Rattus norvegicus: one gene and its partners. The protein of the gene in region 1 interacts with the protein of each later gene in a pairwise test. Links are inferred from orthologs where the notes say so. Each region holds a gene or a part of one and is shown on either strand. Other genes may lie near its edges.

Evidence for each region.
Region 2: the proteins of Ccnh (region 1) and Znrd2 interact in binary tests that used the Homo sapiens proteins (3 or more experiments, as listed by UniProt). The two-hybrid records come from large-scale screens. The link is inferred for Rattus norvegicus from reciprocal best matches to the Homo sapiens genes CCNH and ZNRD2.
Region 3: the proteins of Ccnh (region 1) and Dusp12 interact in binary tests that used the Homo sapiens proteins (3 or more experiments, as listed by UniProt). The two-hybrid records come from large-scale screens. The link is inferred for Rattus norvegicus from reciprocal best matches to the Homo sapiens genes CCNH and DUSP12.

What each region holds. Positions count from the first base shown.
Region 1 is NC_086020.1:17,587,481-17,591,229, forward strand, and holds the end of Ccnh (cyclin-H), read left to right. Parts: intron 1-233; coding exon of another isoform or gene 234-244; exon of another isoform or gene 245-2,034; intron 2,035-2,040; coding exon 2,041-2,152; intron 2,153-2,501; coding exon 2,502-2,562; intron 2,563-3,430; coding exon 3,431-3,469; 3' UTR 3,470-3,598; downstream 3,599-3,749. UniProt on the Homo sapiens protein: Regulates CDK7, the catalytic subunit of the CDK-activating kinase (CAK) enzymatic complex. CAK activates the cyclin-associated kinases CDK1, CDK2, CDK4 and CDK6 by threonine phosphorylation.
Region 2 is NC_086019.1:212,446,389-212,449,988, forward strand, and holds Znrd2 (protein ZNRD2), read right to left. Parts: upstream 2,406-3,600; 5' UTR 2,309-2,405; coding exon 2,290-2,308; intron 2,209-2,289; coding exon 2,057-2,208; intron 1,939-2,056; coding exon 1,854-1,938; intron 1,730-1,853; coding exon of another isoform or gene 1,680-1,729; exon of another isoform or gene 1,323-1,679; coding exon 979-1,322; 3' UTR 622-978; downstream 1-621. Other genes in the region: Fam89b (leucine repeat adapter protein 25), read right to left, coding at 1-151. UniProt on the Homo sapiens protein: Might play a role in mitosis. Antigenic molecule. Could be a centromere-associated protein. May induce anti-centromere antibodies.
Region 3 is NC_086031.1:85,661,473-85,665,221, forward strand, and holds the start of Dusp12 (dual specificity protein phosphatase 12), read right to left. Parts: upstream 2,536-3,749; 5' UTR 2,518-2,535; coding exon 2,177-2,517; intron 1-2,176. UniProt on the Homo sapiens protein: Dual specificity phosphatase; can dephosphorylate both phosphotyrosine and phosphoserine or phosphothreonine residues. Can dephosphorylate glucokinase (in vitro).

The DNA of each region.
Region 1 (3,749 bases):
ATCTGACATCAATGAGAGGAGAGGCCCTTGGTCCTGTGAAGGCTCAATGCCCCCGTGTAGGGGAAGGCCAGGTCAGGAAGATGGGGTGGGGGTTGGGGGGGACACTCATAGAGGCAGAAGGGAGGAAGGGATGGGGGGTTCCAGAGGGGAAATCGGGAAATGAGATAACATTTGAAATGTAAGTAAAGAAAATATTCAATAAGAAATTAAAAAAAAATTGCATGTTTTCACAGGGTCCTCATGAACAGAAGGTAGAGATATGTTGGAGACGGTCATAAAAACAGTGTTTAGACAAAAAATGTGCATATCTTTAAAGTTGGAGTGATGTGTCAAAAAGCCATTACATTAGAGCCTTCAGACAAAATTTGCCAATACTGTGATTTTTGGCCCAAGGAAAAAAGGTTTCAGATTTCTGGACTCTGAAGGGTGAGAGTATACAGTTGGTTGCTTTAAAACACCAAATTAGTAATGATTTTAATAGGAGCCTTAGAAATTAAAAGACTTTGATAACAGGCTTACCAAAACCCCTTGGTGCTAGAATTGAGAAATCCTCTTTAGAAATTCTGATTAGAATTTCTGCTTAATTAATACATGCATTTATGTATTAAATGTATGTGTGTATGTAACATATGTACACACATACCTACGTACGTATAAACATAATACACATATATGGCATATATATCACTAATTTGTGTTTTTGAGAATCTAGAAATGTAGCCCAGGCTAGACTTAAACTTGAAGTGTCTTTCCTCAGTTTCTGAGTGTAAAGATTGTAGGGATATGTCACCATGCTCAGTTCTTCTTGTCTTGGCAGTTATGTTCACAGGTATTGAAATGTACTTTAGAGGTAAAGCAAACCAATTAAAATACTGGCTTGCAGACCTTTGTTTAGGGCATATACTTTAATGTTTATTTTAAAAGCTGACATTCTAGTCATGTAGTTTCATGCCTTGAAGTGATTTTTTTGCTTGAAGTAATTTTGGATTTCCTCTAAGCATAATGGAGGGTTTTTTGTTTTTGTTTTTTTTTCCCTATAAACTGTAGGTCTTTGTATTTACCACTAGAGGGTTCACTTCCAAAGCTAATTGTGATTTGATCATAGTACTTTCTAACAATTTGGTAGTAGAAGGAACCATTAAGAAAACACACTGCTTATCTGAAGCTTACAGCTTAATTATTGATTTCTTATGAAACAAGAACACTTCAGAAAATATTCAGTTTTAATAATATGAAGGTATTCTTATTGAAAAAAAGATATTGACCTAAAGATGTTGAATCACAAATACCAATTTCAGTCTGAAAGCACATGACCACACAGTAAGTCCCCAGACAGGTTTCTAATCTTGAGATTTTTGGTTTATTATATTAAATAACAAGATAGAAAGTATTTTATGTAATCTTATCTTTACTTATCTAGTTTGTTTTTAACTTTTGTTAAGGAAAGCATTCTTTTCTTGTTATATATATATTTTTATATGGTAAATAAGAGGGTATATTTTTGGAACAACATCTATAGTATAGATTGTTACTGTGTATGGTTGTTAGTAGAGAATAAAGAATATTTACTAAATCACATAGGGATTATTTCAAAAGCCTTAAATTGAGAAAAATGTATACATGAAGGTACTTATAAAAAATTACTACCAGTATTATATACAGCATGCTTATGTTTATGCTATATATAGTATAACATAAACAGCAGATACTCACTGTTTGAACTTTAAAGGCTGCTGCTGCTTGATTTTAATACAGAATACAAATCCTAGTAAGAATATTTGTTGTCATCAATGTCTTCTCTTTCCTGAAGCAAGTTAGATTATTATGCTTTCTTTAATACAAGCAGACTTTTTGGGTTGTGTTTTGTTTTTTAAAACAGGATTTGTCTGTGTAGCCCTGGCTTTCCTGGAACTTACCCTAGACATGGCTGGCCTCAAACTCAGTTCCACTTGCTTGTGACTCCTGAGTGCAGAGATGGAGGCATGTGCCACAACATCTGGCAGAAGAGTTTTTATTAAATACGTTTGTATCCCCGTGTAGGCATGAGAAATCTAGTAAAAAAGTATGAGCCACCCAGATCTGAAGAAGTTGCTATTCTGAAACAGAAGTTGGAGCGATGTCATTCTTCTGACCTTGCACTTAATATGGTTACGTAAGTAGGCATGACACAGAAGTTATGTTCATAAAGCCATTGAGTTCAATTATGTCACTGGTACAAAGTTTGTTAATGTTAGCATCTAAATCAAACTTTTAAAAAAAAGTTGAGTACACTGATTTTTGTCTGTTTGGAGTTGAGCTATCTAGTGCCTGTTCTTCAGTAAAAATGTATTTTGTTTTTGAAGATAGGGTCTCACTCCTGTTAACTCATGCTAGTCTGAAGTGAAGGTAATCCTGTTACCTCAGTCTGAGTGCTGTCTTTGTAGCTGTAGGCTACCACATTGGGTTATAATTAATTTTGTTGCAAGTATCAGTTTTGCTAATCAATAACTGCTTATTTATAGAAAGAAGAGGAAAGGCTACGAAGACGATGACTATGTATCAAAGAAACCCAAACAGGAAGAGGTGTGTTTTCCCCTAGATAAACTTATCATTTTTGTTTTCTGGCATGAACTAAGTTAACATGTACTGTTCTGAACGATTATAAGCATTATAGACAGATGGGGCTGAGAATGTTTGAAACAGTGTCTGCTTTGTAGCTCTAGTTGGTCATGAACTCCCAGTTCTTAAGAGAAGTAAGTAAGCCTCAGCCCTCTGAATACTAGGACTACAAGTACGTCTGAAATTTGAAATAATTTTTTACTTACCTGTTTATGCACAATCTGAATTTTAAAGATATCGTTAAGGGGAAGATTTATTTTGGGTAACAGTTCAGGGGGATAAGAATCCATGGCAGGAGAAGGCATGAAGAGGGCTTCCTACAAGGTGGTAGGAGCAAGAGGCAGCTGCTTGTTACATGGTGCTCACAGGGAGCCTCTACATGGTCTATTTTTACATGACAGTGAACCACTTCTAAAGTAAGCTACTTGATTGAAGTAACTTCCTATGATAGAAGGTGTGGTTTGCCAAATTTTATCTGTTCTATAAGAATCCTTCCCTTGCCTTACCCCAGTTTTAAAAACTGTCTCTTAAGAAGTCAAAGATAAACAAGCACAGGCAAAAGGATAGCCTTCGTATACTTCTTCACAGAGCGGGCAGCGGCCTCCATGTCATTGTCACAGTGAAGTGCAGGCAGGACTTAGCACATACCTGTACTTCAGCACTTGAGATACAGCAACACCACAGGTGGCTGCAGCCATAGTAGAAAACCATCTCAGAGACAAACAGATCTATAATAGACTGTTGTCAATCCACATTTTCTTAAAGGGAAGAAAAGAACAAATGGCTCTATTGTTCTTCAGTGTTACCCTCACCACATGTTTTTTCCCTTTAGGAGGAGTGGACGGACGATGACCTGGTAGATGCTCTCTAACCAGTGTAAATGACTGCAGCAGTACTTACTGACCGACGGAAGTAGGAAGCATGTCTGACATTTTACTTTTGTCAAAATAGTGCAATGTGAAAACATCAAAATATATTAAACTTTTCTAATTCTTATATATATTTCCTCTGTGATTGTTTTATACTGCCACCTAGTTAGAATATTCATGACCCACTAGGGTTAGTAGCAAACCACACCTTCCTGTGGTGGCCAAAGTCAAACTATGGTACACTTCCTTATATTTTTCTAGACAAAATATAATAAACCTTTC
Region 2 (3,600 bases), on another chromosome or scaffold:
TGCGGCTCCGTTGGCTGTAGACACGCTCTAGCTCCCTCCACGAGCCACCACTAGCGTTAAGAAGGCCGCTGAGGCCGCGCGGTAGCGGCGGGAGCCCAGCCAGAGCGCAGCCCGCGCCACCGGGCGCCTCAGTTGAGGGCAGCCCGTTCATAGCCAGACCGCGCGGACCGCGATGCCGCCTCCACCCCTCCTACGTTTGCTGCGGACTGCTGCCCAGAGGACCCGCTCTCTGTGGCCCGGCCTCCGGAGAGAGCCCAGCCGCCGCCCGCAGGCCGGGCTTTGTTCCGTCCCAGACTCCTCCGACTCCGCCTATGCTCCACCCCTCTGCATGGGCGGAGCCACACTTAACGCGGAGATGACCCTGGAGCCGGAAAACCCATCAAGGAACTGGATAGAAGGAGTGAGGCCGACTCTTTTTGCTGCCTCATTCCTACACAATGTTTGTTCTACACTATTCTTCTCCCAAGGGAACAATTCTAAAAGCATGGGGATGCAGGAGGCTGGAGTCTGCAGTAAGACTGTGCCTGGCTCTTAAAGTGCACCATTGCCCTCCCCACAATTTGTCAAGATGGCAATGGCCATAAGCTGGAGCAAGATGATGGAATCAGAATGGTCAAAGGAAGGAAAGGAAACCACCAAGGGGACTAAACTTCAAATGGCAATCAGGTCCAAAAGGTGGATGAAGGGGGTATAGGATCAGAGACAATGATAGTGACCCAACTTTTGAGGGGACTGAGGTCACTCCTTAAAATAAGGTGTCATTTATCCCTATCATTTACATCTTGTCCTGAATGTAGAACCTCTCCATTCAGGTAGAAAAAGACCATGGAAAGGTGAGATACCAAAAATAAGAAAAAACGTCGAGCAGAGCTGGGCTTGCATGCACACTCAGAGGCAAGAAAGGAACAGACCACACGGAGGAAAAGCTGTTTTTCTAGAGGGTTTTTCTCAGGGGGAACAGGGGTGAGGGTAGAGGCCTCAGTGCTCCAGCTGCTTCAGGCTGCCCAGGGCCTCAGCACAAGCCCTGATAAGCCCACAAAGTTGGATACTAGTCTCCAAGGAAGCGCTAGAGCCCAGCTCGACTGACGCCCAGGTTAGCTTCTGTAGGAGGGCTGTCTGTGTGGAAGCCACCACGTCTGCATTTGGAGGTGCAGCAGGAAGAGGAGGCCCCTGGGCTGCCTTGAGCCCTGCTGCAGCTCCCTCACAGTGCTCTGGACGGGGTACTGGTGGCTGGGATGGGGGCCGAGAGCTGGAGGCAGGCTCTGTAGTAGAGGCCAGCTGGTGTTCCCGAGCTTGAGAGAGGGCTGCCTGTGCATTCAGAGCTAAAACAAGAAAATAAGTGGAATAGTCAGGATGCCAGATCCATCGCTCCCCTGAGCCCTTTGCTCTGTACTGATCCCCCTGTGTGTCTGGTGTTTTTTTGTGTAGGCCAATCCATCTAGTCTCTACTCTTCTTTCTCCTCACACATGATTGCCAAACACTGCCCCACTGTTTTACACTCGAGAACCAGCTACTCCACAGTTGCCTTAGCCTCATTTATGCATTAAGTCTGTGCCTTTAAACTGGGATCTGTACTTCGGTAGTAAAGTGCTTGCACCACGACATGCACAAGTACCCGTGTTGCACATCCATTCTACACGTGGGGATGGCTAATTTGGCTCGGATTCTTGCCACGGTGTCAGAAACAAAAGGCTGATTGTTTTTCTTGAATGAATCTCCTCTCTAGGACTGAAATGAGAAGGCACCTTAATGCCCCTTCACGCAGAAATTTCCACTGTCACCTCCCAGGCTCACTGTTCCTGGGGAACTATCACCACGTTCCTCTCCCCATAGTGCACGTTCGGCCCCTCACCCGGGTTATCTTTATCCACGTCTGAGTCGAGCTCCTGACAAGCCACGCAGTAGATTTTCCGCTGTTTATCTTGGAGGAGGATCGTCTGGGAACCAGAAAGTACATGGACACAGGTGAGCCTGAGAGACAGGGTCCACAGAAGAGAGCGCTGAGAAAAGGTCTTGCGGCCTAGTCCGCAGCCTCAGCCTCATCACTCGCCTCACCCCGCAGTCCGCGCACGTGTCGCCTAGCATGCGGTAACCACGGAGCAGGTAGTCGCCCATGAGACGAGAGATGCGATCCTGCCGCTCCCGTCGCGCCTGCAGCACCTTCGTCTCAGCTTCAGTCGGAGGCTCCCAGGTGAAATCATCGACATCTAGGGGAGACAGATCCAAGGAAATGGAGGGAACCGCCTCCCACATCCCACGGCTAGTGCCCAAACAACCCGAGCGCTCACCTGCACCGTTCAAGGCCATGTTGCCGTGGTCACTGCTGGGCTCACCGGAAATGATGCAAATAAGGCGCGCCCCCACTGCGGCTCCGCCTCCCTCATGTAGCAAACTGAAGGCGGAAGTGACGTTTACATGGTCTTCCTGGCGCTTTACTCAAAGAGGGGCGTGTCGGCTGCACGTTTGACCCTGACCTACACGCTCGGCTATTAGCCAGAATTATCCATGGGTACCGCCGTCTCCCTGGTAACACTTCAGTACTTGGGTGTGGCTTTTCAGAGTCTCTATTTCTACTTGTTGCAGATGGAGTGGACCTTTGGTCTGTTGAGATAGATACCCGATTCCCTCGGGGTTGTCTTTCCACACAGGTGGAGCAGGAGGCAGGCGGGACCATGAATGACATCTGCCCAAAAGTCACTGCAATAAAAAGTTCTCTGCGGGGGTTGGGGATTTAGCTCAGTGGTAGAGCGCTTGCCTAGGAAGCGCAAGGCTCTGGGTTCGGTCCCTAGCTCCGAAAAAAAAAAAAAGAAAAAAAAAAAGTTCTCTGCGAGGGCGCAGAAACTCTTTAGGTCTTTTTGGATCAGGCTGGCTACACAGGGGACTGTGGTCGTTTTCTGCTTATTTCAACACCCTGTCTGCATGCTGGATGTCGTCTGTACACCTTCTACCAATGCCTAGAACTGATGTAAAGCCTGCTGTCTTAGTTATGGCTATTGCCGAGGTAACACCATGACCAAAAATAATTTGGGGAGGAAAAGGTTTATTTCACTCACAGTTCCATGTAACATGTTCATCAAAAGCAGTGAGGCCTGGAACTCAAGCAGGGCAGGAACCTGGCGGGAGCTGATGCAGAGGCCATGGAGGGGTGCTGCTTACTGGCTTGTTCCTCATAGCTCGCTCAGCCTGCTTTGTTACAGAACCCAAGAATGACCCTACCTAAAATGGGCTTTGCCCTCCCACATTGATCACTGATTAGAAAATGCTCTACAGGAGGATCCACTGAGTCTTAAGGAGGCATTTTCTCAATCAAAGTTTCCTCCTCTCCGATGACTATAGGGCCTGCTAGTGAAATGGCTTATAATCGTGTTTGAGTGGGTTACAAGTAAATTACCAGTGCTCCTCATAATCCTGGGTTCTTTACAAGAACAACAAGTAATTAAATGAAGAAGAAGGGCTGGAGAGATGGTTCAGTGGTTAAGAGCACTGACTGCTCTTCCAGAGGTCCTGAGTTCAATTCCCAGCAACCACATGGTGGCTCACAACCATCTGTAAAGAGATCTGATGCCCTCTTCTTGTGTGTCTGAAGACAGCAACAGTGT
Region 3 (3,749 bases), on another chromosome or scaffold:
CACGCCTCTAATCCCAGCACTCGGGAGGCGGAGGCAGGCAGATCTCTGTGAGTTCAAGGCCAGCCTGGTTTACAGAGTTGAGTCCAGGATGGCCAGGGCTACGCAGAGAAACCCTGTCTCAATCAATCAACCAACAAATAAACTAAAAGACAAAGCCCAGCGACTGTTAGTGGTAACGTTTCGGTCCACCTCACTCCTTTCTGAGTCAGGACGATCTCCCGCCTCAGCCTCCTCGGTGCTGGAATTCCAGGTGCGGCGCCCTGTACCCAGCTCATTCCTATTTCCATTCAAATTAACCCACTGCCCCTTAAATACTGTCAACGCACAACATGAATCGATTATTTCCTTATTCCTTCTTAATTCCGAACAGTGTGGATGCATTAACTATTCTACAATGCCTGCCTTCAATGTTTTAACTGTTGCCATGGCGCCTCGGCTCTTGACTTCAAGTTGTTCCAGATCTGATTCCATACTTCTCATCACTACCTTCTGTCCTTGTGTAAATCTTTACAACTACTGGTACACAGGAAGTGTCCAACGAAGCAGTTCAGACGGACCCCAACAGGACTACCCTGGGATCCCCAAACACCTACTAAGATTTTCCTTCTTTTTTTCCCCCACACCAGTACTTAATAACTTTATTTGCATTGGCTCCTTCCACCTTGTGGAAGAGATGGGTGCAGGCAGCAGTTTGGCCATCGTGCGCCCTCTGGTGGGACTCAGGGGCAATGAACACAGTTGGCCACACAGGGCGTCAATCAATAGTCGAACACAGGGTTGTAGTGATCCTCACTCAGGTCTGTACCCCAGACCCAACTTCAGGTACCTGGGCTTCTTGGGGCGAAGCCCTGCACCTCTGACTCTCATACTCGACTGTGTTGGACACTTGATGTTCTGACGAACCTTGAAGGAGAGGCTAGAAGCACTCTTCTTCAACTCTAAGCACAAAAACCAGAATTAAAGTCAAAGCAGTAAGTAGCACATGCATAGAATACCAGCACTGGGGTTGGGGATTTAGCTCAGTGGTAGAGCGCTTGCCTAGGAAGCGCAAGGCCCTGGGTTCGGTCCCCAGCTCCAAAAACAAAAAACAAAAAACAAAAAAAGAATACCAGCACTGGGGGTGGATGCGGGAGGGTCCCAAGTTCAAGGACTGTCTAGACCGCACAGCAAAACTTCCATCCCAAAAACAAAACAACAAAAATATGGAGAGAAACATCACTCTAACTTTCCTCCACCTTTCCAAGAACCTGCCCCAAAGGCATTTTCTTAAGATCGGGGCTGTGTCATCATAGTAGCAGCATGTTTGCCTAACGTGCTATAAGCAGGACAAATTAATTCTCCGATCGATTTAGTCCGATACATCCTAAGACCACAATTCCAGAAAGGGCTTTGCCTATACACCCGAGGACGATCAATTCAGGACAGGCTGAGTTTCCTGGCTCATTTCCATAGCATTATGTCACACTCCTCTTGTCCAATCCCTTTTCTATACGACTGTCCAGTCTTAATTAGTCCCAGAATGTGAACGAACGGTTTTCCTTTGGTCCGTGCATGCTTCTCTAAACCTGCGAGTCACGTAAATCTTTGATTAAAACTGCCCGAGCATGGTGGCTCACTAAAGGTGTGCAGCACTGTGGACGCAGAGGCAGGAGGATATCTGTGCTTTTTGAAGCCAACCTGCTCGATATAGCGAGTTCCGGGCCTGCCAGATCTGTACAGTTAGACCTTGCCTCAAAAAACAAAAAGCCCCATGTTTTTCTCTTGTTTAGTGAGCTTTAGGACGAGGAAGAAAAGTATCACGTACTTTCACCCCTGTACTCCATTCACCAGAATGATTCTGACTTCTCTTACAAAGCTGCTAAACTTGATGAAATAATTGTAATGGTTAGTGATTAATGAACTAATCTGGTGAACCCCAAACTCCAAAAACACAGATAGGCAGATAGACCGATGGACGGATGGAAGGATGGATGCACAGACAATGGTTGCTGGAAAATGAAATCAAACAAAACCTTAACCAAGGGCGGGTTTACGAACTCTCCCTTGAGCCACAAACCCCAAGGGAAGATGAGGAAAGAGGGTTTGGGCTATGACAGCACCGCCCTCCACTTCTGGGCGCCTCAGCAGAGAGGCTAGACACGGGGTAAGGCACCGCCCCCCAGCCTGGGGCACTCACCAGTGCACCAACACCGCACGGCCTTCGGAGCGAGCCTGGCCGATGAAAGCCACGCACCGATCCAAGTGACTGAGCAGGTCGGTCTCGGGTTTGTCCAGCGCGGGCACGAAGAGGCTCTGGAGACCTTCGAAACCAGCCCCGGCCGGGAAAGCCGGTTCCGAGTCCACCGTCAGCACGGCGGTGATGCCCGCCTCCCTCAGGTAGTCCGGTCCAGCCACTGCCGCCGCCCCACCCAGATACAGCCCGGGCCGCACTTCCACCGCGTGCCCTGCCGAGCTGGCGGGGCTGGTAGTCGGAGCCTGACGCTCGCAGCCATGGTTAGAGCTCTGTACTTCCAACATGGCGGCGCCAGGAAGCCAAGCAGCCTCTGCCCGCCACCAAGTCACCGGCTAGAGTAACCAGCTCCGGTGTCGGACTAACTCCAGCCGCTCGGTAGCGCCATGGGAGGACCACGGCAATAGGGAAAATGACTGATTCTGGGGAAGGTGATGTGAGGCTTGCTGGGACTGTGTGCTAAGTAAGCTCCTTTTAGAGCAGCCTTTCCACCCAAGCCTCTAAAGTCCAAGGCAGAAAATGAAGTCTCCATTCATCCATTACTGGTGGGTTCGCAAACTTGTACAGTCACTATGGAAATCAGCTCGGAAGTTCCTCAGGAGGATGGGAATCTACCTCAAGATAGACACTTGCCCAACCATGTTGTCCATTGATGCTTCCTAATCAGAAATCGGAAACCTAGATGTGTCACAACAGAAGATTGGATAAAGAAAATGTGGTGCGTTTTACACCATAAGGTGTTACTCAACCATTAAAAAAAAGAAGAAGAAGAAGAAGAAGAAGAAGAAGAAGAAGAAGAAGAAGAAGAAGAAGAAGAAGAAGAAGAAGAAGAAGAAGAAATTCACAGGTAAATGGATAAAGCTAGGGGGAAAAAAATCACTCTGAGTGAGGACCCAGAAAGACAAATCTGGTATGTATAAGTTTATATGTGGATATTAGCTGTTAGGTCAATGATAACCAAGCTGCAATATATAGAACCTCAGAGCTTAAGTACAGAGCTTAAGTACAGACCAGGGAGGAAAGATAGATCTCCCTAGGAAAGGTAAATAGAATAATAGATAGTTATGCTGGATTGAGGGGCGGCTAGAACAGAAGGATCCAATGGGAAAGGGAAGAGAAAAGCAGGGACAGACAGCTAAAATTAAGGGGGGGGGCATGAAAACCTAATATGGTAGAGCTTCCTAAAATAAACATATATGAAGGCAATCTAAATGAAATGTCCAAATAATGGGGGAGACAGACTCTCCAACTGGACATCTCTTGTCACCAAATGAAGCTTCCAGTGTCAGGATTGGTCGACATCTAATTGAGTTGTTGGTCAATGGAGTCTCATGGAACCCACCCTCACCCCCACCCCAAACCCACTCAAACTGTTGCCAAGACCTTAGGCTGCTCTCCACCAACTGATGGCAAGACCCCAATCCTGAAGACAACACCTACATAACTCACTAGACATGGAGAAGCTGAACTTCTTCCTTCAGAGAGCCTTCACCCACATATACGAGTGTCTTTGGTGCAG